5 linked regions of the Macaca mulatta genome follow. The protein of the gene in region 2 interacts with the protein of the main gene of each other region in a pairwise test. Links are inferred from orthologs where the notes say so. Each region holds a gene or a part of one and is shown on either strand. Other genes may lie near its edges.

Region 1 (2,751 bases), on a different chromosome or scaffold from region 2:
GAATGAATAACACATTCTATAATTCCTGAAAATATAGTACAGAGTGAAATGATTTAAATATAATTTAGGCACATATTGATTATGAAAATAGATTATCTCTCAATACAATACTTCTCTGTCTTGGTAAAAATAATAAAGCAAAGAAAATAATTCATTTCTGAAGTTGCTTTCCTTCACCTGTAAAGGTCTGATCTCCTCCCACTATGCATATGTACCCTTTACTGTTAAGGAAAGCTTTGCATATGTAGATATACAAGAATAAGCTACGTAAATACTAAAGATATGTCATTCTCCCAAAGGAGACACAGGTGGTTTTCAATGATTCCTTGCCTCATGTTGATGAGTCTGTAGAATTCAGAACCCATTTGGACACAGCTAATATCCCTGCTCTTGGGGTAGAAATAAGGACACCAGGTCATTGGTAGGGAGGTACAGGTCCTTCCTCTGCTGCTGCAGAGATAATGACTCAAGAAAATTGGGCTACAATTTGTTTAGGACACACACACACACACACATATATATATATATATATATATATATATATGTAGAAGAATCACAGGTGCTGACTGATTGGTATTACACCTTGGACCAGCCAAATGCCTTTATTTTTACTTTACATATATTTTTTGGTGGCTGTAATCAAATGTGTGTTTAAAATTCCTCATTCCCCACTGTAGGGTTCTAGCTGCAATTACATTACATTGCCTTTTAGCAGGCAACTCTACCATCTTCATTCATATATGCTTTGATTGCAGTAGCTCTGGATTTAGTATCTATTTCTAAGCTGGCCCTATGTCAACTATTCGGTATTTGAATTAAATGAATATTAATGATGCACCTTGGTTTTTTGGTTTTGAAGTGTCTTCTTATCCTTGTGATGATTGTATGAGAAAACTAGGCTAACAGTGTAAATAGAATTGCTTGGTCTGGTGTTGAGTGGAACTTGCCTAGAATGAAATTCTGAGAAATTCTCACTTATAAGTGTTGTAGTGATAGGTAAGTGCTTCCTCCATCCAGAGTCCCACTGTACCTTTGGAATGACAGTGATGTACAATGATGTCTTTCTTTCCACTCTGTCTCAATCAGTAAGAACTGGATATTACTTTAATTTAGCTACTGTTTTGTCCTAAAAAGTAAACATTTTAAAAATGAACCTGAAAAGAGTCTTAGGGAGTCTGATCTCACCATATTCATATGGTGTGACAGGTATTTAAAGAGAGGAGGCATCACTAAAGCTATTTATAAACCTGAACAACCTTTTCCAAGTTTTCATAAAGTTTTAACAATTTAAATATCCATACTGCATCTAGGTATTCAATAAATATAATTGCATATGTTGTGCTTTCCATAAATTAAAATCCTCAAATGCATCTCAAACCAAGATGGTATTTCCACATCATGCCTATTTAAAAGCAAATATAATAGATACTATTCCTGGTCATAAAACCAGGTAAACCCCCCTACCCCGTTCAAAAGGCAGCAATATCTAGTTTCCCTACATCTATTAAATGAGTGCTTTTCTGTTAAAAATCAGAAAATGGAAAAAAAGTCAGTTTTTTCCCTTATGCACCGCTCAGAACAAGCATAATCCTCTAAATGTTTTTTTTTAAATTTCCTTACGGTGTTATTTCTTCTAGACAACTGAGTGGGTGGAGAAAGAAAAGTGATAAGGAAAACATTTTCATCTTGTATATCTTCCTCCAGCCCCTAAAATTCTCATCTGACACTTTGTGACATGTGTAGTGGTGTCAGCATCTCTTCAAATATAGCTCCCTTCACGTTGGACCCTCTCAGGTTGGCTTCTTGAAGATCACACCCAGACAGATCACAATTCTGCAAGATGAAAACAATATTCACATAATTCATGTGGAAATTTCAGGCCTTATCTGTTTCTGCTCAAAACGATTTCTGGGGCAGATTAGGAAAATGTTCCTATACAATAAAACTCATTTAATTTCCGGAAAACTGATGATACACCACCCTAAATTAAGATGATATTCTATCTGTATTTGTTACCTCTAGTTAATGTTCAGGCTGTATATATATAAACAAAGGTTAAAGAGGAAGCATGTCCCTTGTTCTTGCATATTTTAAAATGAGACATTGAAAACAGAGGTCCCCAACTCCTGGGCCACAGACTGATACTGGTCCATGGCCTGTTAAGAATCAGGCTACACAGCAGGAGGTCACCAGTAGATGAAGCTTCATCTGTATTTACAGCCACTCCCTGTATGGCTCAAGTTACAGCCTGAGCTCCACCTCTGTCAGATCAGCAAGGGCATTAGATTCGCATAGGAGAGTGAAACCTATTGTGAACTGCACATGTGAGGAATCCAGGTTGTGTACTCCTTATGAGAATCTAATGCCTGATGATCTCTCACTGTCTCCAACATCCCCAGATGCGAATGTCTACTTGCAAGAAAACAAACTCAGGGCTCCCACTGATTCTACATTATGGTGAGTTATATAATTATTTCATTATATATTACAATGTAATACTAGTAGAAATAAAGTGCACAATAAATGTAACGCACTTGAATCATCCCAAAACCACCCCTGACCCTGGTCTGTGAAAATATTGTCTTCCACAAAACCAGTCCCTGGTGCCAAAAAGGTCGGGGACCATTGATTTAAAATACAAAATGGATTCCAACATAATAAATAAATAAATACACACACACACACACACACACACACACACAAACAAACAAAAAAAACGGAGTTTTGCTCTTGTTGCCCAGGCCAGAGTGC
Region 2 (4,235 bases):
ATCAGCAAATGCAGTGTATAAAAATAAATGAATTAGCTGTGGGAATGGAGGTGTAAATAGGCACACAATTTGCCGCTATTGCTCTCTCCTCTGTTTGCATAATAGTATTTGGATACTAATCTTGACATTGTGGCTGTGTTTCTTTCTACTTTTGTCTTCTTGCATTCCTTATGTGTCCCTGTCTTCCCCACTCCCTATGTCTGAGTCCAGACAGTCACAGGTGCTTCCCAAGTATATTGGAATGGAGTGGCCCTGTGGTGACAGAGAATGCTTCCTGTGTGGATTAAGGCACCTGGAAAATTTGTCCCTTAGGGATCTGGGAACTCCAGGCATGCTGGCCTCGATGTTCTCAGCTCTGTTTCCTCTCTGCTTTCCCAGATTCCTGCATGGGTCCTTAAGGGATCACCTGGAGGTACAGGTCAATTGTCCATGTAGTGCCCAGATGGACTTTAGTTTGCTAAAAAAGTAAGGACTGGAGGTATAATATAAAGAGAGACTGTTATGAGGCCTTCACAGCAGGTATCTCTAGTAGGAAGCTCATGAGCTAGCATTTTCACAAAAAAGAAAGAAGAAGGGGGGAGGGAGGTGTTGGAGGACGAGAAAGAGGTCTCAGGGCTAAGAGACAGGTATTAATGGCCTAGGTAGCTGTGTTAGAGGTGAAAAGGAAGTGGGAAAAAGACTAAGATGGAGAGGGATGCCTGAGACCAGAGTGAGGCAGGACAAGCAAGGTGCTGAACAGAAAGTGGTGATGAGAAACAGGGGAGGCAGAGGGTCAGAAGCCAGGAGAGAGGCTAGATTGAAGAAAAGCACCCACAGCTGACCTCCTAACACTTGTGGTAGCATCCCTGCCCATCCTCCAAAAGCCTTAGGCTCGGATGGGGCATTCAGTGGCCATGGTTCCATTTCAAAACAGTCATCAAGCCCAGCGCTTTTATCTTCTTGCTGAGATATCCTGTCTCTGCTCCTCTGCACAACCCCCTCTCTCCCAAAATCAGGCCTGTTCTTGCACCTGGATTCTTGCTGGATCACCTGCCAAATCTCCTGGCTTCCCTCCTAGCCCCCTGCAGGCCATTCTACACATTAGAATCACCTGAAGGCGGGGGTTGATTCTAATTAATTCAGATGCTCAGGTGGTACCCCAGACCAATAAAATCAATGTTTTGGGGGTGGGGATCAGGCATCAGTAATTTTAAAAGATCCCCAGGTGACTTCAATGCACAATAACGTTGGGGAGCTACTGAGCCTAAGGCATTTTCCTAAAGCACCAATTTTATCCCTTTCCTGTTGAAATGGGCTCAGAGGTTCAGCTGCTGCAGCACAGAAAATGAGGTAGTTAAGAGAGGAGTGTGGACACTATTGTCCATGCTTTAGGATTTCTAGACTTGCATCGAGAATCCCTGGATTTCCTATTTATGCAAACACTATGAGAGGGTCATGGGTGGAGAGTTATGTTTGTTAAGCATCTACTTAATGTTTAATTGCAAGATGGATAATATCTTTCACCTGAATTCACCAAACCTTTGCTTACAGAATTGCTTTTCCAGGCTTGAAAGCCTTCTAACTGCCTTCTATTTTTCTGCCTCTTCTAATCCTGTCATCTTATGGTGATGTCATCTTTCCCCTTCTAAGAAGTGTGCTCTTACTACTTCAGACTCCCCTCATCTGTGACGTAAAAAGACTGGTTTGGTAGAGCAGGTGAGGATAATGTAGGACCTAATATGGAGGGTTAGTACTCCAAATGCGTAATTGAGACCCTGAGTACTATGACTTCTGGATGGGAAAAACAAGGTAGTAGGAGTTCATGGATGTATGGGGTATTTATATGATCCTCAGGGTCAAAAGTACCCTGTAGAAATTCTTTTCCATTAAATGTTGCAGGTATTAAGAGTTCATAGGAAGAGAAAGAGCAGTTTATATTTTTATATCACATACAGATTACAAAGCATGTACATTAATCCTTATATCTACAATATCATGGGAAGGGGGTATTGTCTCCATTTTGCAATATAGCATTTTAAAGTTAAGATCCCAAATTTTAGGTTCCAATCCTGACTGCATCTTTCCAGCTGTGTGATCCTGGGACAACTTTACTTCTCAAAGGCTCAGTTTCCTCATGGAAACAGTGGACTTAGGGTGAGGGGTTAGCTGGGGTCATGCATGAAGTTCCTGGCAAGTTGCTTAAGCACTATTAGCTATTACTATTTTGTACAGATGAGAGAGTTGGGGTTCAGAGGAGTGAAGTGCTCATTTTCATAGTTAATGGTGCTTAGATTTGGAACTCATGGTCTACATATATAGTGACCATTTAGGATACAGTTAATTGCTACAAAATTCTTAGCTCCTTCTTTTAGATAAAGAAATGAACTCAGAGGCGCACTGGCCTGCCCTGTGGACTTCACAGCTGGCAAGTGGTCCCTAGTTTTCATGAGCCAATGTGGCCCCACATCCAGTGTCTGACACTTACGAGATATGGACGCTCCTGAGGCGGCCCTTGCGGAAAGTGACGATGGTATTGCGGCAGCAGCGACTCTCATAGTAGTAGCACCTAACATTGCTGCTGGCTGTGCAGCAGCACTTACAGTTGGGATCATTGGCCCAAGAGCAGCAACACCAATGGCAGTTGGGGCTCTCAGAACAGGTGCAGTGGCAGAACTGGCAGTTCCGCTCATCTTTGTAAGGGCAGGGGAAGCAGGTGCAGTTCCGCTCTGAGGTGAAGATGAACTTGCAGCACAGACAGGAGCATAACTGAGGACAGCATCTCTGCCATGTACAACATGGACAGCAAACGCACATAGCAGTTTCCATGGCGCCTACATGATTACCGCTGGCCTCCTAGGGCTCTTGATGCCTCCTCTACCAGAATACTGCTATCAGTTCTCCAGTGGAGGAGTCCTTCCTCCCCTGCGTGAGGCCGTCAGCTTGAGAGTTGCAAGAAGTTGGCTGTTATGAGGCCTTCACAGCTGGTGTCCCTACCAGGAAGCTCGTAGGCTGGCATTTACATATATCAGTCTGAGGGTATTTGCTTATGTCACAATCCCTGTGTCTCTACCATGCTGGGTGGGTAGGAGGATGCGGCCTTGTGGGTGGTAGCAGGTATGTTGGTGAACACTCCATGCTTCTATGGAACCAGCTGTAGAGGAGTGGTGATGCAATGAGCATCCTGGAAGTTTAGTTGTCATTTGTCACCTTTTGGATAATGGAGTAGATTTCTGAAGTTATTTCTCCTTGTTTGGTGTTCTGCCTGCGATTTGGGCAAGTGGACTTCAGATTATGTCTTCATAGACTGAAAGACTTGGGTATGGTTAATTAGAAAAGTAGATTCACATGTTTTTCCACGTTAGCGGAATTGATAGAATTCTATTTGAACGAAGGACAGTGTTTACAAATATTACCAATGCCATGTTTAAAGAGATATCACCATTCAGAGAGAGAGTTAAAGAAAAAATATATACAGGTTCACTTAGGAACTTCTTTCAGTAGTAATTGATTTTTATCAATGCATAGTCACTGCTCATTTTCATGAAGCTTTATACATAAGTCACTCTGAATATTTCTTTGCTTTTTTGTAGCTTCATGGTGTTTGGGTGAGGTTCAGGCTTTCTGTCTTTTCCCATCCTACTCCCACTCCAAAAAGAGGCTGGAACTCTACGTGAAATCTTTAACTGTTCTGCTAGTATACGCTCAGTATCCCTAGAAAAAAGACCCTATATTTTAGGGAAGAATTTCGCTTTCCCATTTATGCAACTTGCAAAGATTAAAAGAACAGAAATTTCATGGTCATGGTACATTAGAGTATGAATACTGTCTTATTTTTATAAAAAGCAGAAGTGAGAGCTGAGTTTGGCTGCAGGAATTTACTGCATAATTTATTATCTCTCCCTATGGTTATCACCTTTATAATAGGAGAGAAAATCACTGAGTGCCAACTATGCCAGCCACACATCGATACTAGATTTCTACAAGTGAAAATCCTGGATCATAGGGTATGTGCTTTATCTGTCTTTTTTTAATGCAAAACGCTCAGTTTCTTACTCAAATGTGCCAGTTAATACCAGCAAGGAATATAAGACATTCAAAAAAGTGAAACACCTTTTCCCCACATGTTTGCCAAAACTGAGTTTTATCAATATCTCTCTCCGTTCTCCAGGCACACAGGTTAGAGTTTCATTCCCAGATTTATGATACATTTTCACGATTGCTTTCTGTAAGGTCTTATTAAAAACTTATTAATATGT
Region 3 (4,075 bases), on a different chromosome or scaffold from region 2:
CTCTCGATTTCTCCTACCCAAGACTGCATCAATTATTGGTCTCCGTTTGGCTTTTTCCTCTCTACAAGCCCAGGGTTGACGTGAAACCTAATAGTAAACAACAATTAACGACCTCAGCAGCGTCAGGGTAGAAGGAGGGTGATGGGGAACAGGACCCTTGGCCTGGGATGACGCTCAGATTTTCACGTGTCTCTCTAAGGAAAGACTTGAAGGTTCTCATAAGCAACTACCCAGCCAGTTGGAAAGGGGAGGAGGTGTCGTTGGGGTAAAGTGTTCTGTCCACCATCAGCCATCTGTCCACCGCTCCTCCCACCTGCCAGTCCCCGCACCCACTCTAGACGCGCAGCAGAATGAGGAAGGTTACAAAAGGAAGCTCTCTCTCTCTTCTAACATTCCTCTCCAGAAAAAGAGGAACGCAACGAAGGGAGTTCAGCTACTTTGTTGGAGCTGTGGACCGGCCCTGCGAGGCCCACGCGGGAGCGGAGGCTCCTGGGTCTCGGGCGCCGGCAGATGGCCTGCAGCGCACGGCCCGGCCCCCACGCTGGCCACGTCCGCCAGCGTCATCTCTCTCCCCCGCCTCCTACCCCTAAAAATCCGGCGGTCGAGTAGCTCCGCATCCCGGAGGGCTCCCGCTGCAAAACTGAGTGGGAAAGAAACGGCGGAGAGCGAGGAGAGAGGGAGGGTGGGGAAGAAGAGCCCGGTCGCCCCCGGCCTTTTCCGGCAATCCCTGTTTCCAGGGCTCTTCCGCACCCCCCCTTCCCCGGTCGAATTACAGAAACTCCTCATTGCCATGCTAATGAAGAGCGGGGGCTGTGGGGAGAGGGTTTCGGAGACTCTCCTGGAAGAAGGGAAGTTTCTTTTCTTGCCCTCGTCTCCTTCACCCCCACCCGAGTTCCTCCCACCCAGCCCTCTGCGCTCTTCCCTCTCCATTCCGCGCTTGGAGAGCCGGTGGCCCAGCCTCGCCCCCTGCCACGGTTCTGTGCGCTCCTCACAGCCCCATGGTCTCCCAGCCCAGCCTCAGAGCAGAGAAGGCGGCCTGGGAACCCGGGGCTCGGTGTCAGCCGGATTCCCCGCCTTCCGGTTGGGCGCGCTCCGGGCTGGGCCCGCGAACCTGCGGCCACCCGGCGAACTCCGGCCCACTAACTCGCGCCCCGAGAGAGCCGGGAGCCCTCTTCCCTTCTCACCTCTCGCCAGTTCATCTTTCAGTGCACAGTGGGGAGGGGGCGGGAGCGGGGGACGCCTCTCAGCCCCCACCTCCCGGAGGCCTGGCGGGGCGGGCAGCGGAGTCGGGCGCGCGCAGAAGGCAGCCTTTGCTCTTCTTCGCTCCAGCACTCCAAATCGGCCGTTGCAGTCGCCGCAGCAGCTGCCGCCGCCTGGGCTGCCTGGGGGGGCGACTGCGCGTCACCTAGACGGCGGAGCGCCGGGGATTTAAATGCCACTGAAACGGTGATCCATCACCGCGGAAGCCGGCAAACTTTTGCAGGAGGCTCAGCCATTGGCTGACACCGTCACGTGCCCCTCCCCTAGCGTCCTCCGCCCTCCCGCCCCCCCCTCTTGCGCACTGTACATTCATATCATTTTTCTTCTCAGGCCCCATGGAGGAAGTGAGAAAGTTGGCACGGTCACCCAGGGCTTCGCAGGACCAGGTCACTCAGTGACAGATGGACAATGCAAGAATGAACTCCTTCCTGGAATACCCCATCCTTAGCAGTGGCGACTCGGGGACCTGCTCAGCCCGAGCCTACCCCTCGGACCATGGGATTACAACTTTCCAGTCGTGCGCGGTCAGTACCAACAGCTGCGGCGGCGACGACCGCTTCCTAGTGGGCAGGGGGGTGCAGATCGGTTCGCCTCACCACCACCACCACCACCACCATCACCACCCCCCGCCGGCTACCTACCAGACTTCCGGGAACCTGGGGGTGTCCTACTCCCACTCGAGTTGTGGTCCAAGCTATGGCTCACAGAACTTCAGTGCGCCTTACAGCCCCTACGCGTTAAATCAGGAAGCAGACGTAAGTGGTGGGTACCCCCAGTGCGCTCCCGCTGTTTACTCTGGAAATCTCTCATCTCCCATGGTACAGCATCACCACCACCACCAGGGTTATGCCGGGGGCGCGGTGGGCTCGCCTCAGTACATTCACCACTCATATGGACAAGAGCACCAGAGCCTGGCCCTGGCTACGTATAATAACTCCTTGTCCCCTCTCCACGCCAGCCACCAAGAAGCCTGTCGCTCTCCTGCATCGGAGACATCTTCTCCAGCGCAGACTTTTGACTGGATGAAAGTCAAAAGAAACCCTCCCAAAACAGGTCAGTCCTGGGGGTTGGTGGATGCTCCTTGATTAATCTGGAAGGAGCTGGTATGCTTAATTTCCAAGGAAAATTAATAATTATCTTTTTTTTTTTAAAGGCTTTAAGACTAGTGTTGTAGTGCATGGAGAGGGTACCCAGAGGTGTTGGGGCAAAGAAGCCTCAGGGATTGGCGTGTTCTCAAGGATTTTATACATTTGGGAAGTAGGAAGTGTGTGGGGGTGGTTATTGTGACGGTAGTGTTCTGTTAATATCTTAAGGCTCCATTAATCACCGATCTGACCACGCTAATGGTTGACTTCAGGTTAACACTTTACACCTCATCACTCACCCTCCACAGCCCGATTTGTGTTGAGTTCTTGATCTTTTCTTTACCTGAGTGTTGCCATGAAGTGTGTAGGTAATCTCAAGTCGGTTTAAAAATTTTTACCTTTCCATCTCATGGCTTCCCACTTTGCCCCAGGGAAAGTTGGAGAGTATGGCTACCTGGGTCAACCCAACGCGGTGCGCACCAACTTCACTACCAAGCAGCTCACGGAGCTGGAGAAGGAGTTCCACTTCAACAAGTACCTGACGCGTGCCCGCAGGGTGGAGATCGCTGCATCCCTGCAGCTTAACGAGACCCAAGTGAAGATCTGGTTCCAGAACCGCCGAATGAAGCAAAAGAAACGTGAGAAGGAGGGTCTCTTGCCCATCTCTCCAGCCACCCCGCCAGGAAACGACGAGAAGGCTGAGGAATCCTCAGAGAAGTCCAGCTCTTCGCCCTGCGTTCCTTCCCCGGGGTCTTCTACCTCAGACACTCTGACTACCTCCCACTAAGGCGGCTCCAGTCCCAGACCACAGCCCAGGCATCTCCTTGGGCTGGGACTTCTTACCCAAAGCACATGCTTAGCTTATCTTTCTTTCCATTTACAGTCTCTTCTTTTCTGATCCTATCTGGGGAGCTCCTGGCCAGGATAATATGTTTGCAGATAATTCTGGACCAGAGACTTGGTGCCGGGTTAACACCTTAATCCAGATTGGGTGCCAGCACACATTTTCTGGTGGGCCTTAACATCCCTCCTGATTTTAGGAGAATTCACAGAACCTACTGTTCCTTTCAGATGACTTTTTGGAAAATAGTTCCCTTTACCAACAGAAACATGCCAGAAGGAATCTTCTCATCTTTTATCTAACTATATGTACAGCTCTCTCCTCCCTTGTCCTTGAAAGTAGGATATAGTGAAAGGAGAGTCCAGGAGCTCACGAAGAAGAGATACACTGTGTGTTTACACAATTAATTCATCCCTTAATTTAAGTCATTTTCATGTGTGTGAGTTTGCTGGTTGTGAATACTTTGTCCTAAGAGATTTATCTTTATACAGATTTTCTAGAAATGTTTAGGTTACTAAAACAGGGTGGGCAAACTCTCAAAACTGGCACAATTTTATAAGTGAAAGAACAAATTTCCTCATTTAAATCCAATCAGATGCCTCAGAGGGTAGCCTCGATTTGTTCTTACAGTTAAGAAGCCCTGCAGAGCACAAAGTTCAGAAATCCAGCTTCCTGTGCTAAGTCTTTCCCAATCCCCACTCCTTTCTTCTTGGGCCACCCTCTGTTTAAAATTTGTGCTGGGTTATTCAGAACCTAAAAGTATTATTCAAACCAGCTTCTTCCTTCCACAGTTATCTTAGTTGGATATAATGTATTTTCAGGTCAATTGTTAATGTGATGGATGGCACAATGAATGTATATTTTGTGTGATTCGTGAATAGTCTTTTGC
Region 4 (4,192 bases), on a different chromosome or scaffold from region 2:
AGGGGGACTGGATGACACCTATCTGTCAACCCAGCTAATACCAGGGGGCAGTCTGAAGTACTTGATGCCCCATTCGTTGCTTGCTCACCTGGGGCTTTGTGGGATGCTGAGTTGGTTCTGCACAGCAAGGGCCACACTGTCACCCTTTTGGAACACCATGTCATAAGGGCCTTCTCCAAACATCATGGCATATAGCACGCAGCCTAGGGACTGAGCATAACTTGGTTAGTCCCTAGAAGGGGACCAATGGAGATAACATCGCTCCCCTTACTTCTGTGGTAAAAGACTACATAAGCTAAAAAGAATAAGCTGACCTCAGCCACATGGCACCACCAGGGCACAGAGAAACTGCCAGTCGGTTGGAGGCCTCCGCAGCCCCTGCTTAGCTTAGCCCCTGCTCTTCAGTACTGATACTGAGCTGTACTCACCTTGTTCGGGGCAGGGATTATACCACATCCGGTGCAACTGGGTACAGTATCAGTGACAGTTCCCAGGAAGGAAGTTGAAGTGGATGGGGACATACTGTGGTTCCTGGGGCCCCATGCAACAGAAACCAACGACCTACTCTACTCCACAGCAGGTACAGAGCCACAGCCCTCCCTACCCAGATACCCACCCACATGCTCCTCACCCAGACATCAGTCCGCTCATCGATGACACAGTGACTCTGCACAGAGAAGAGCTCTGGGGCTCGGTAGGAGATGGTGCACCGCTGGGCTGCCCAGTCCTGGAACAGTGATCCCAGAGCTCAAAAGTGGGGCACTCGTCATGGTCATGTGACCAAACTGGGGCATGCACCAGAAGGGGTGGGAATGGGGAACAGGTGAGAAAAGGAACCTGGAGATTTTTTTACCTGCAGGGTCAGAGCCTGGCGGGAGCCCTCCACATTGATGCATGCTTGATTCATAGAACCCAAGTCCATTAAAACTGGCTGCCCCTCATCTCCGAGCAATATATTGGTGGGCTTCAAGTCCCTGTAGGGAAGTAGAAGTGACCTATGAGCATCTCTGGACAGGAAGGCTGGAATCCCAGCAAGCAAAAGAATCATACAGGCTGTTTCTTGGGAGAACAGAAACCTCCCATTTCTCTTGGTAAGGCTCTTCCTCTGGGCCCCAGCAAGCATACAGGGTCCTCCCACTGACCTGTGGGCATAACCCTTGGCATGAATGGCCTCAAGGCCTCTGCAGATCCCCAGCAGCAGCCAAAGGATTTGATCCTCAGTCAGGAAGTTGCCTTTGTCCTTCAGCCTTTCTATCTCATTCCACAGCGTACCTCTCTGCAACACAAGTTTCCCTACAGTTGGAGATGTTTTTGGAGCCTCTGCTCCTTAGGCCTGATCCCTTCCCTATGTCAAAGCCTATCAGCCCTTTCATGATACACACCTCAAACTCAAAATCTAAAGTGGCCAAACCCAGGACATGGTCCCTGCTTCCTAACATGCTGGACTGCTCACATAGCCCATGGGTAGGTGGCTCTGTTGCAACCCCCTCCATAACCGGGAGTCTTTCTGACCTTGAAGAACGGTAGCAGCAGCCAGGCCTCATGCTTAGCACCCCGCTCCCTCAGACAGTAAGCCACGAGGCGAAGGATGTTTGGGTGACTGAAGAGGCGATGCATGTCGGCTTCTCGCTGGGCCTCCTCCCGGTCCTGCTGCTCGTGACACAGGATTCGCTTCAGGGCGTAGAAGTGTCCATCATGTAACCCTTCCACTAGGTCCACATAGCTGAACCCACTGTGGGCCAAAGGGGTCAATGAAGGGTCATGGTCATCTCCCACATGGCTAAGACCTAGCGAAATTTCCTGGTGGGGAGTGGGGTGTCCTTCCCATTTAGCAGAAACCCTCCCAAGATGTGGCTCTAAGAGAAATCTGAAGAATATTACACTGTGAGCTCCTCAGGAGCAGAGATACAGAAATCTTTGAGGTCCTATGGTCGTAATAGAGACCTCTGCACGTGACAGATGCTAAATAAATAATAGCCAACACTTTTTTTTTTTTTTTTTTTGAGACTGAGTCTGGCTCTGTCACCCAGGCTGGAGTGCAGTGGCCGGATCTCAGCTCACTGCAAGCTCCGCCTCCCGGGTTTACGCCATTCTCCTGCCTCAGCCTCCCGAGTAGCTGGGACCACAGGCGCCTGCCACTTCGCCTGGCTAGTTTTTTGTATTTTTTAGTAGAGATGGGGTTTCACCGTGTTAGCCAGGATGGTCTCGATCTCCTGACCTCGTGATTCGCCCGTCTCGGCCTCCCAAAGTGCTGGGATTACAGGCTTGAGCCACCGCGCCCGGCCCATAATAGCCAACACTTATCAAGTACTTAAGAACCACGCACTGGGTGAGACATTTTATACACATTATCTCATTTAATCCTCACAACTCCATCAGTGAGGGATGATAATCATCTCCATTAAACATATGAAAAAAACATGGTTTATCAAGGTCACATGAGGTGGATTTAGCAGGCCTGGCTCCAGAATCCACCTTCTTGATGCTGTGTAGCTAGGCTCTGTCAGGTGAGAGGAGATAGGGATAGGGATAAAACCCTTGTGCCCCAAGCACGTGCACACCGCTTTCCTTCAATGACCACAACCTTGAGGCCTAGTTAACTGACTTCCAAACACTCACCCCTCCCCCAGTTTCTGGATGAAGAGGTAGCGCTTATTGTCAATGATGACAGTTCCCCGAGAGCAGACACACAGCGCGTGGCCCATAATGTTTCAGTCATCCTCTTCAAGGACAGTCTGAGGCTACCGAAGAGCTCGTCCAGGGTGAGTGGGCTCTTCCAGGAGATGCGCTGGGGGCCAAGCGGATCATGCTGGAAAGAAAACAACGGCAGGGTCTCACACAGGTCCGGCACAATCTAGACGACTCATGAAGTACCAAGGCGGAGAGCTCAGGCCCAGGTCTCTGGAACCTACACTATTGTCTAGAGAAAATGGGCCTTGCTCCTTCGCCAGCTTCAAGCGGCGGGGGTCAGGGGCCTTATGGCCTCAGGATACACAGCGGCTACCGGGCCACTTCCTCCAACCCCAGCCCACCTTTGGGCAGGCCCCGCTCCCACACCCGTCGCGCCGCAAAGACAGAGCACAGCGTAGTTTCAGAGGACGTGCGAAGCTCACGCCCACTCCTGGCAGGGCCCACCCCCGGCCTAGGAGCCCAGAGTCTGGAATGGGCCAGCCTGCACTCCCCGACTGACCTGGCTCGGGACAGAGCGAAGCGCCACCGACCGGAAGCAGTGCTGACATCATCAGTCCGCGGCGGCGTAACGGCCCGCGGTATCTTAGCAACCGCTGGGCATCTGGAGGATGTGGGGGCGCGGAGCTGAGAGGCCCAGGGCGAGCTAGGTCTAGGGGTGGACGGGTCCCAGGACCCTGGTGAGGGTTCTCTACTTGGCCTTCAGTGGGGGTCAAGACGCAGGCATCTGCGCCAAAGGGGAGCAAAGCCGGGCTCGGCCCGAGGCCCCCAGGACCTCCATCTCCCAATGTTGGAGGTAGGAGGCTTCATACCTCCGGCGCTCTGGGGCAGAAAGCGGCTACTACACTGCAGCCCGGAGGGGATTCCAGGTAGGGGCGGGTCTGGTGGCCTGGTCTCCTGATCCCTTACAACCTTCCGGGCTCTGGCCTGTATCCCACTACCTCTACTCTCAGTGGTTAAGAGCTCAGGCTTGTGAACCAGACTTTCAGTTTCTAAATTGAGTGTTAATAGCATACTAGGTGTGTAACCTCGGGCAAGTTACTTAACCTCTCGGATCCTTACTTTTAGTAGCTGTAAAATAGGTATAATAGTACCTAATGTTAAGTAGCTTAACTGTGAGGCCAGACTGACTAGTTCAAACGCCAGCTCTGTTAACGTAGTTGTGTGACCTTGGACAGGCTACTTAATGTTTCCCTCCTTTCCTCTCCTCCTCTGTAAAATGGAAATGATAATTATCTACTTCATGGAGTTGTTTGAAGATTAAATTAGATGTACAGTGTTTAATACAATATCTGACACATAGCCTTCAGTACATGTCAATAAACAGTAATTATTATTACCCTGATCTTCACATCCCATTCTTGAGATTGTAAAGTCAAAAGAAAAGGAAATTCACAAGTTTCCAAGCCTTGGCACAAAGCAGTTGTCCTTAACATCTGTTGCTGAGGCAGGCAGGGTAAGCTGGAGAGGGGTGCACTTCCAAAGAAGGTGGAATGGCCAGGAG
Region 5 (4,194 bases), on a different chromosome or scaffold from region 2:
CTTCCTCTCTTCTTTCCTTGCAAATGACAAGTGTTTGTATGAGTGTACATGGGTGTACATGTGTGTGCATGTATTTGTGTTCACGTGTATGTATAAATGTGTGCATGTATGTGCAGATATATGTGTGTATGTGTGCATGAATTGTATGTGTGTATGCATGTGCACATGTATGCTTGTTGGTATGCGCATACATGTGTGCATATGTGTACACATGTGCACATGTATGCATGTTGGTATGTGCATACATATGTGCATACGTGTATGTATGTATGCATGAATATACATTCGTGCATATATATGTGTGTGCATGTATACATATGTGTATTTGTGTATATGTGTGCATATATGTATGTATGTACGTGTGTGTGTTGGTGTATATGTGTGCATGTGCATGTGTGTGCATGCAGGTGTGGGTGTGTCCATGCACACATACTCATGCAGTTATGTGATGGGAAGAACCAGTCATTTACCTGGATAAGGCGCACAGGGTTCTGCATGATGTCCTCTCCTCCAAAGAGATAGAGTCTTTGGTCTTTCACAGCGACTGCGGGGTGGAGCACCCCCACGGGCATGCTGGCCATACTCTCCCAGACATTGCAGATGCTGTCATATCTTTCCATGGAGCCCATGAGCTCCTGCCCTTCTCCAATACCCCCGATGGAGAAGATGAAGTTCTTATGGGCAGAGCTTCTGTGGGAGTAGCGGGCCACCAGCATGGGCTCCCCCAGCCTCCACTGGTTGAGTTTGAGGGAGAAGATGTAGACGTTATGACTGACCAGACTCCTCCCTGAGCTGACAGCCATGCCCCCCAGCACGTAGACGCTGCGGTGCAAGGTGACAGCAGAGGCCTTGTACAGCCGTGTCGGGAGTTTGGCAAGGCTCTGCCATTGGCCAGTCTGTTTGCTATACAGTAGGACGTCCCTGGTGGTCTGCTGGCTGTCCTTCCTTCCGCCCAAGAGGATGAGGAAATCTTGGTAAGAGTTTCTTGGAGGGACATGCAATAGGAGTTTGCAGTCTGGGGCGCTGGTGCCACACAAAGAGAACATCTGTCTTTTGGCGGTCTCCAAGATGAGCTGGCATGCAGGCGAGGACTGCAGGAGGGCATCGTTGGCGATGAAGTGTTGGAAGAAGGCTGGGTGGATGTACTGCAGCCTGACCTGCTTGAACAGTTCCTGCATGTATCGCTTCCGGGCCTGGAGGTCATGCTTGATCCAAACCATGAGGGCCTCAAACACCTTTTCTTCCTCCCCACAGAGCCCATCATCTCCCAGATAGTCTCTCAACTCCAAGGCACAGAGCTCCTTCAGGTCGGCTGATGCGGCCACCTCTGGGAAGGACGTCAGTGCCACCTCCCTGGCTTTCTTCTTGAGGGTCTCGCAGCTTAAGATTTCTGAGAGTCTGATCATGCCCAGGCAGTTGCTGGGGGCCAGCTGGCTCTGCAGGTATGAGGAGCAGGCCTCAAACAGCTTGGGGAACTGTAGCATGGAGGCGGCCTCCATTACGGGGAGGACATTGTCAGCATCGATGCGTGCCTCCCCCGTGTACACGTAGGAGACGATCTGGTCCAGGGTTGGGGGGTCAATGCCTTTCAGCTGCACTTTGGCTTCACTCTTCTCCCGGAAGCTGCTGCAGAACATAGCCCTGAAGTAGGGGCTGCTGGAGGCCAGCACGTTGCGGTGGCAGGGGATCTCCCGGGCACCGGCACAGATGCTCACATCAGTCAGGATCCTGCTTTGCCTTAAGCTGTTGAGCTGCCTCAACAAGTCAGAAGAGAAGTCATGATCTTTGAAGAGCACCCCATCTGGAGACTCCTCGTCCATCCTACAAAGAGGGAAGGAAGCCCCCAGAGTCAGCAAGAGTCAAGTCTTTCTCAGCTCAGGTGCTGGAGGGTTCAGCTGCGGGGACTGTAAGACCAGTGCTCCTATTCCATTCCCCATGATGTTTGTGGATGTCGCCACGGATATTGTGTAGGGAAGATTGGAAAGGAAGGCCACATACATCTCAGACCTGAGCTCTTTTGGGTTATGGTTATTTTCGAAAGTAATAAGCATATAGTATCTTCAGCTAATCTGAGAGAAACAACCAACCAAACAAACTAAAGTTGTTGGAAGTTACTCTATTATCAGAAGCTGAAATGTTAGTCTGAAGCAAGATAACAGTCCATGCATTTGGCCAGCAGAAGTTCCTGAGCCTTTTTCCAGATCGATGGCATATCTGTTATTGAGTAAACTTGTCTAAACATCTCTTTCTGGGTGTCAATCATTCCCCAAAGGTGACACTCTGGAGGTGTGGCCCTCTGGTCACTGGACAGAAATGAGGGAAGAAAATGGACCTTTGATACATATATTTAAATATAACTTCATTGAGTCTTGCTTTAAAGATGGAATAAATAGAAGGAAAGACCAAACAATCCCCTGGTTTATTGGATGACACCTGGCTGTCTACCTGCAGAAGAAATAAGCATGAGGGATACTTACCTTGTTTTGCCGCGGTGACATCCACTGGTGCCTGGTCTGGCTTGTCCCCCTGGAGAGTTTCTACCTCTAGCTCTGAGGGAAACCATAAACTCCAGGCCTTTCTTTCAGTTGGCAAATGATTTGTCCTGGGAGATTTCTGGATTTGTTTATGCTGAAGGCACTTTCATAGTTTTCTAGAGCTTTGTGCAAGGACTGCTGGCCAAGGAGACAGTGTATACATTCCAGGGCTAAGAATAGTTGCATATGTACTTTCCACTGTTATGACATGTGACTTTCCAGTTGCCTTTTGCAGCAACCCGAGGGCCTGCAGGGCCCGCGCATGCCCACATGCCGTGTTTCCTTGGCAAGTGTTTACATCGGCAAAAATAGATTGGGAGGAGTGGCTTCTGTTAGAGAAGACTTTGCTGTCTGCTTGGAACCATCCCGAGTCCCCTGTCCTAAAAGTGCCTGGGAATTCTAGCTGTCTGTAAACAGGTTGCTGTGACCTGTGGAGAGTCACTGAAGATGGTTCTGGGCCACAGTGAAGGTGGCAGGTGGTCACAAGGGAAGCCGGAGCATGAGCCTGTGGATGCTATTCAATGGATCCCTATTTCCCCCCATCTGCCTGGCAGGATTGCTGGGGAGAGCTGTGATTTCCTCCTCCAGGAGCCTAGGTGATGAAATCCATGACAAGAGTTGTTTTTTTTTTGTTGAGCACCCCAGGGTTTCCAGACTCATGAAGGCCCAGACCTTTGTCGGGTCTCCTTACTCGGGAGCCTCTGATTGACAGTTGCAAGGCCGAGCTCCTCCTGTCACGTCTGCCTCTCCCAGACACGTGCTGATTGCTCTTCAGCTGGCTTTTTATAGTTCAGACTTCCTTTTCTGTCTTACTTTTCCATTTTGTCTGGTCTGGCAGCTTGAGCTAGAGGCAGGAGGCAAGCCATATTGCTTTAGGGAGAGAGAGAAAGAAGACAAAGGGGGATGAGGAGGAAGAAGAAGCAGGGACAGAGGGAGGGAGAGAGAATAGAGGAGGAAGAGGAGGAGGAGGAAGAGAAGGAGGTAGAGAATTGGGGGAGGAATGAGGAGAGTGATGTGGTAGGAGGCAGCTTTCAATAACAATCAGAATCACGAGAAAGAGTGAAGGGGACCTCAGGTCTGTCCTGCCCCTGCCGTCAGGGAGATTCGTGATTGTCCTAGCCACGAAAGGCAGGCAAGCCTGACTTCGTCTCCTACTCAAAATCTTGCTCAGACTAGTGCGATGGCTTCCCATGCATTTTTTTTTTCTTTGCTCCTAGTGCTTCTCTCTCCAATACATCCACCCTGTCCCCTCTGGAGCAGCCCCTGGGAAGGCAACTCAGAATTTGCCAGTTCTCAGCATCAGGCCCTTCAGTGGCTCCCCGTGTCCGCAGGACTCCTTAGCTGGAATCGGACTGGTGTCCTGTCTGCCTCTGGAACCACGTCTACTGCCACTCATGTGTAGTAGTTTAGCTCCGTGAGACACTTACAGATGTTTGTATGCATCTGGTCGCTGTTGGGGAAGCTGGGCTGACCTGGTCTTTGGGACACCACAGGACAGGGTGGAAGGAAGAGGGTCTCTCATTCACAGTTGCAGATCGTAGAGTGGATTATGCCCAAGAGTCCAGAAGGTCAAGGCCAAGGAAATGGATCCAAAACATGTTACTGGGGCCACGGGCCTGGAGGCCAGAATTAGGAGCAGGAGGCCTAAGCTAAGGGTGTC

Evidence for each region.
Region 1: the proteins of TRIM42 (region 2) and KCTD9 interact in binary tests that used the Homo sapiens proteins (3 or more experiments, as listed by UniProt). The two-hybrid records come from large-scale screens. The link is inferred for Macaca mulatta from reciprocal best matches to the Homo sapiens genes TRIM42 and KCTD9.
Region 3: the proteins of TRIM42 (region 2) and HOXA1 interact in binary tests that used the Homo sapiens proteins (3 or more experiments, as listed by UniProt). The two-hybrid records come from large-scale screens. The link is inferred for Macaca mulatta from reciprocal best matches to the Homo sapiens genes TRIM42 and HOXA1.
Region 4: the proteins of TRIM42 (region 2) and STK16 interact in binary tests that used the Homo sapiens proteins (3 or more experiments, as listed by UniProt). The two-hybrid records come from large-scale screens. The link is inferred for Macaca mulatta from reciprocal best matches to the Homo sapiens genes TRIM42 and STK16.
Region 5: the proteins of TRIM42 (region 2) and KLHL38 interact in binary tests that used the Homo sapiens proteins (3 or more experiments, as listed by UniProt). The two-hybrid records come from large-scale screens. The link is inferred for Macaca mulatta from reciprocal best matches to the Homo sapiens genes TRIM42 and KLHL38.

Annotation. Positions count from the first base shown.
Region 1 is NC_133413.1:27,175,508-27,178,258, forward strand, and holds the end of KCTD9 (BTB/POZ domain-containing protein KCTD9), read right to left. Parts: intron 1,834-2,751; coding exon 1,717-1,833; 3' UTR 511-1,716; downstream 1-510. UniProt on the Homo sapiens protein: Substrate-specific adapter of a BCR (BTB-CUL3-RBX1) E3 ubiquitin-protein ligase complex, which mediates the ubiquitination of target proteins, leading to their degradation by the proteasome.
Region 2 is NC_133407.1:43,684,330-43,688,564, reverse strand, and holds the start of TRIM42 (tripartite motif-containing protein 42), read right to left. Parts: upstream 2,806-4,235; coding exon 2,465-2,805; intron 1-2,464.
Region 3 is NC_133408.1:101,251,814-101,255,888, forward strand, and holds the start of HOXA1 (homeobox protein Hox-A1), read left to right. Parts: upstream 1-1,269; 5' UTR 1,270-1,661; coding exon 1,662-2,313; intron 2,314-2,776; coding exon 2,777-3,132; 3' UTR 3,133-4,075. UniProt on the Homo sapiens protein: Sequence-specific transcription factor. Regulates multiple developmental processes including brainstem, inner and outer ear, abducens nerve and cardiovascular development and morphogenesis as well as cognition and behavior.
Region 4 is NC_133417.1:124,492,859-124,497,050, reverse strand, and holds the start of STK16 (serine/threonine-protein kinase 16), read right to left. Parts: upstream 2,808-4,192; 5' UTR 2,706-2,807; coding exon 2,620-2,705; intron 1,733-2,619; coding exon 1,513-1,732; intron 1,277-1,512; coding exon 1,143-1,276; intron 975-1,142; coding exon 854-974; intron 728-853; coding exon 632-727; intron 211-631; coding exon 89-210; intron 1-88. UniProt on the Homo sapiens protein: Membrane-associated protein kinase that phosphorylates on serine and threonine residues. In vitro substrates include DRG1, ENO1 and EIF4EBP1. Also autophosphorylates. May be involved in secretory vesicle trafficking or intracellular signaling.
Region 5 is NC_133413.1:134,062,677-134,066,870, forward strand, and holds the start of KLHL38 (kelch-like protein 38), read right to left. Parts: upstream 2,807-4,194; 5' UTR 2,564-2,806; coding exon 2,478-2,563; intron 1,822-2,477; coding exon 471-1,821; intron 1-470.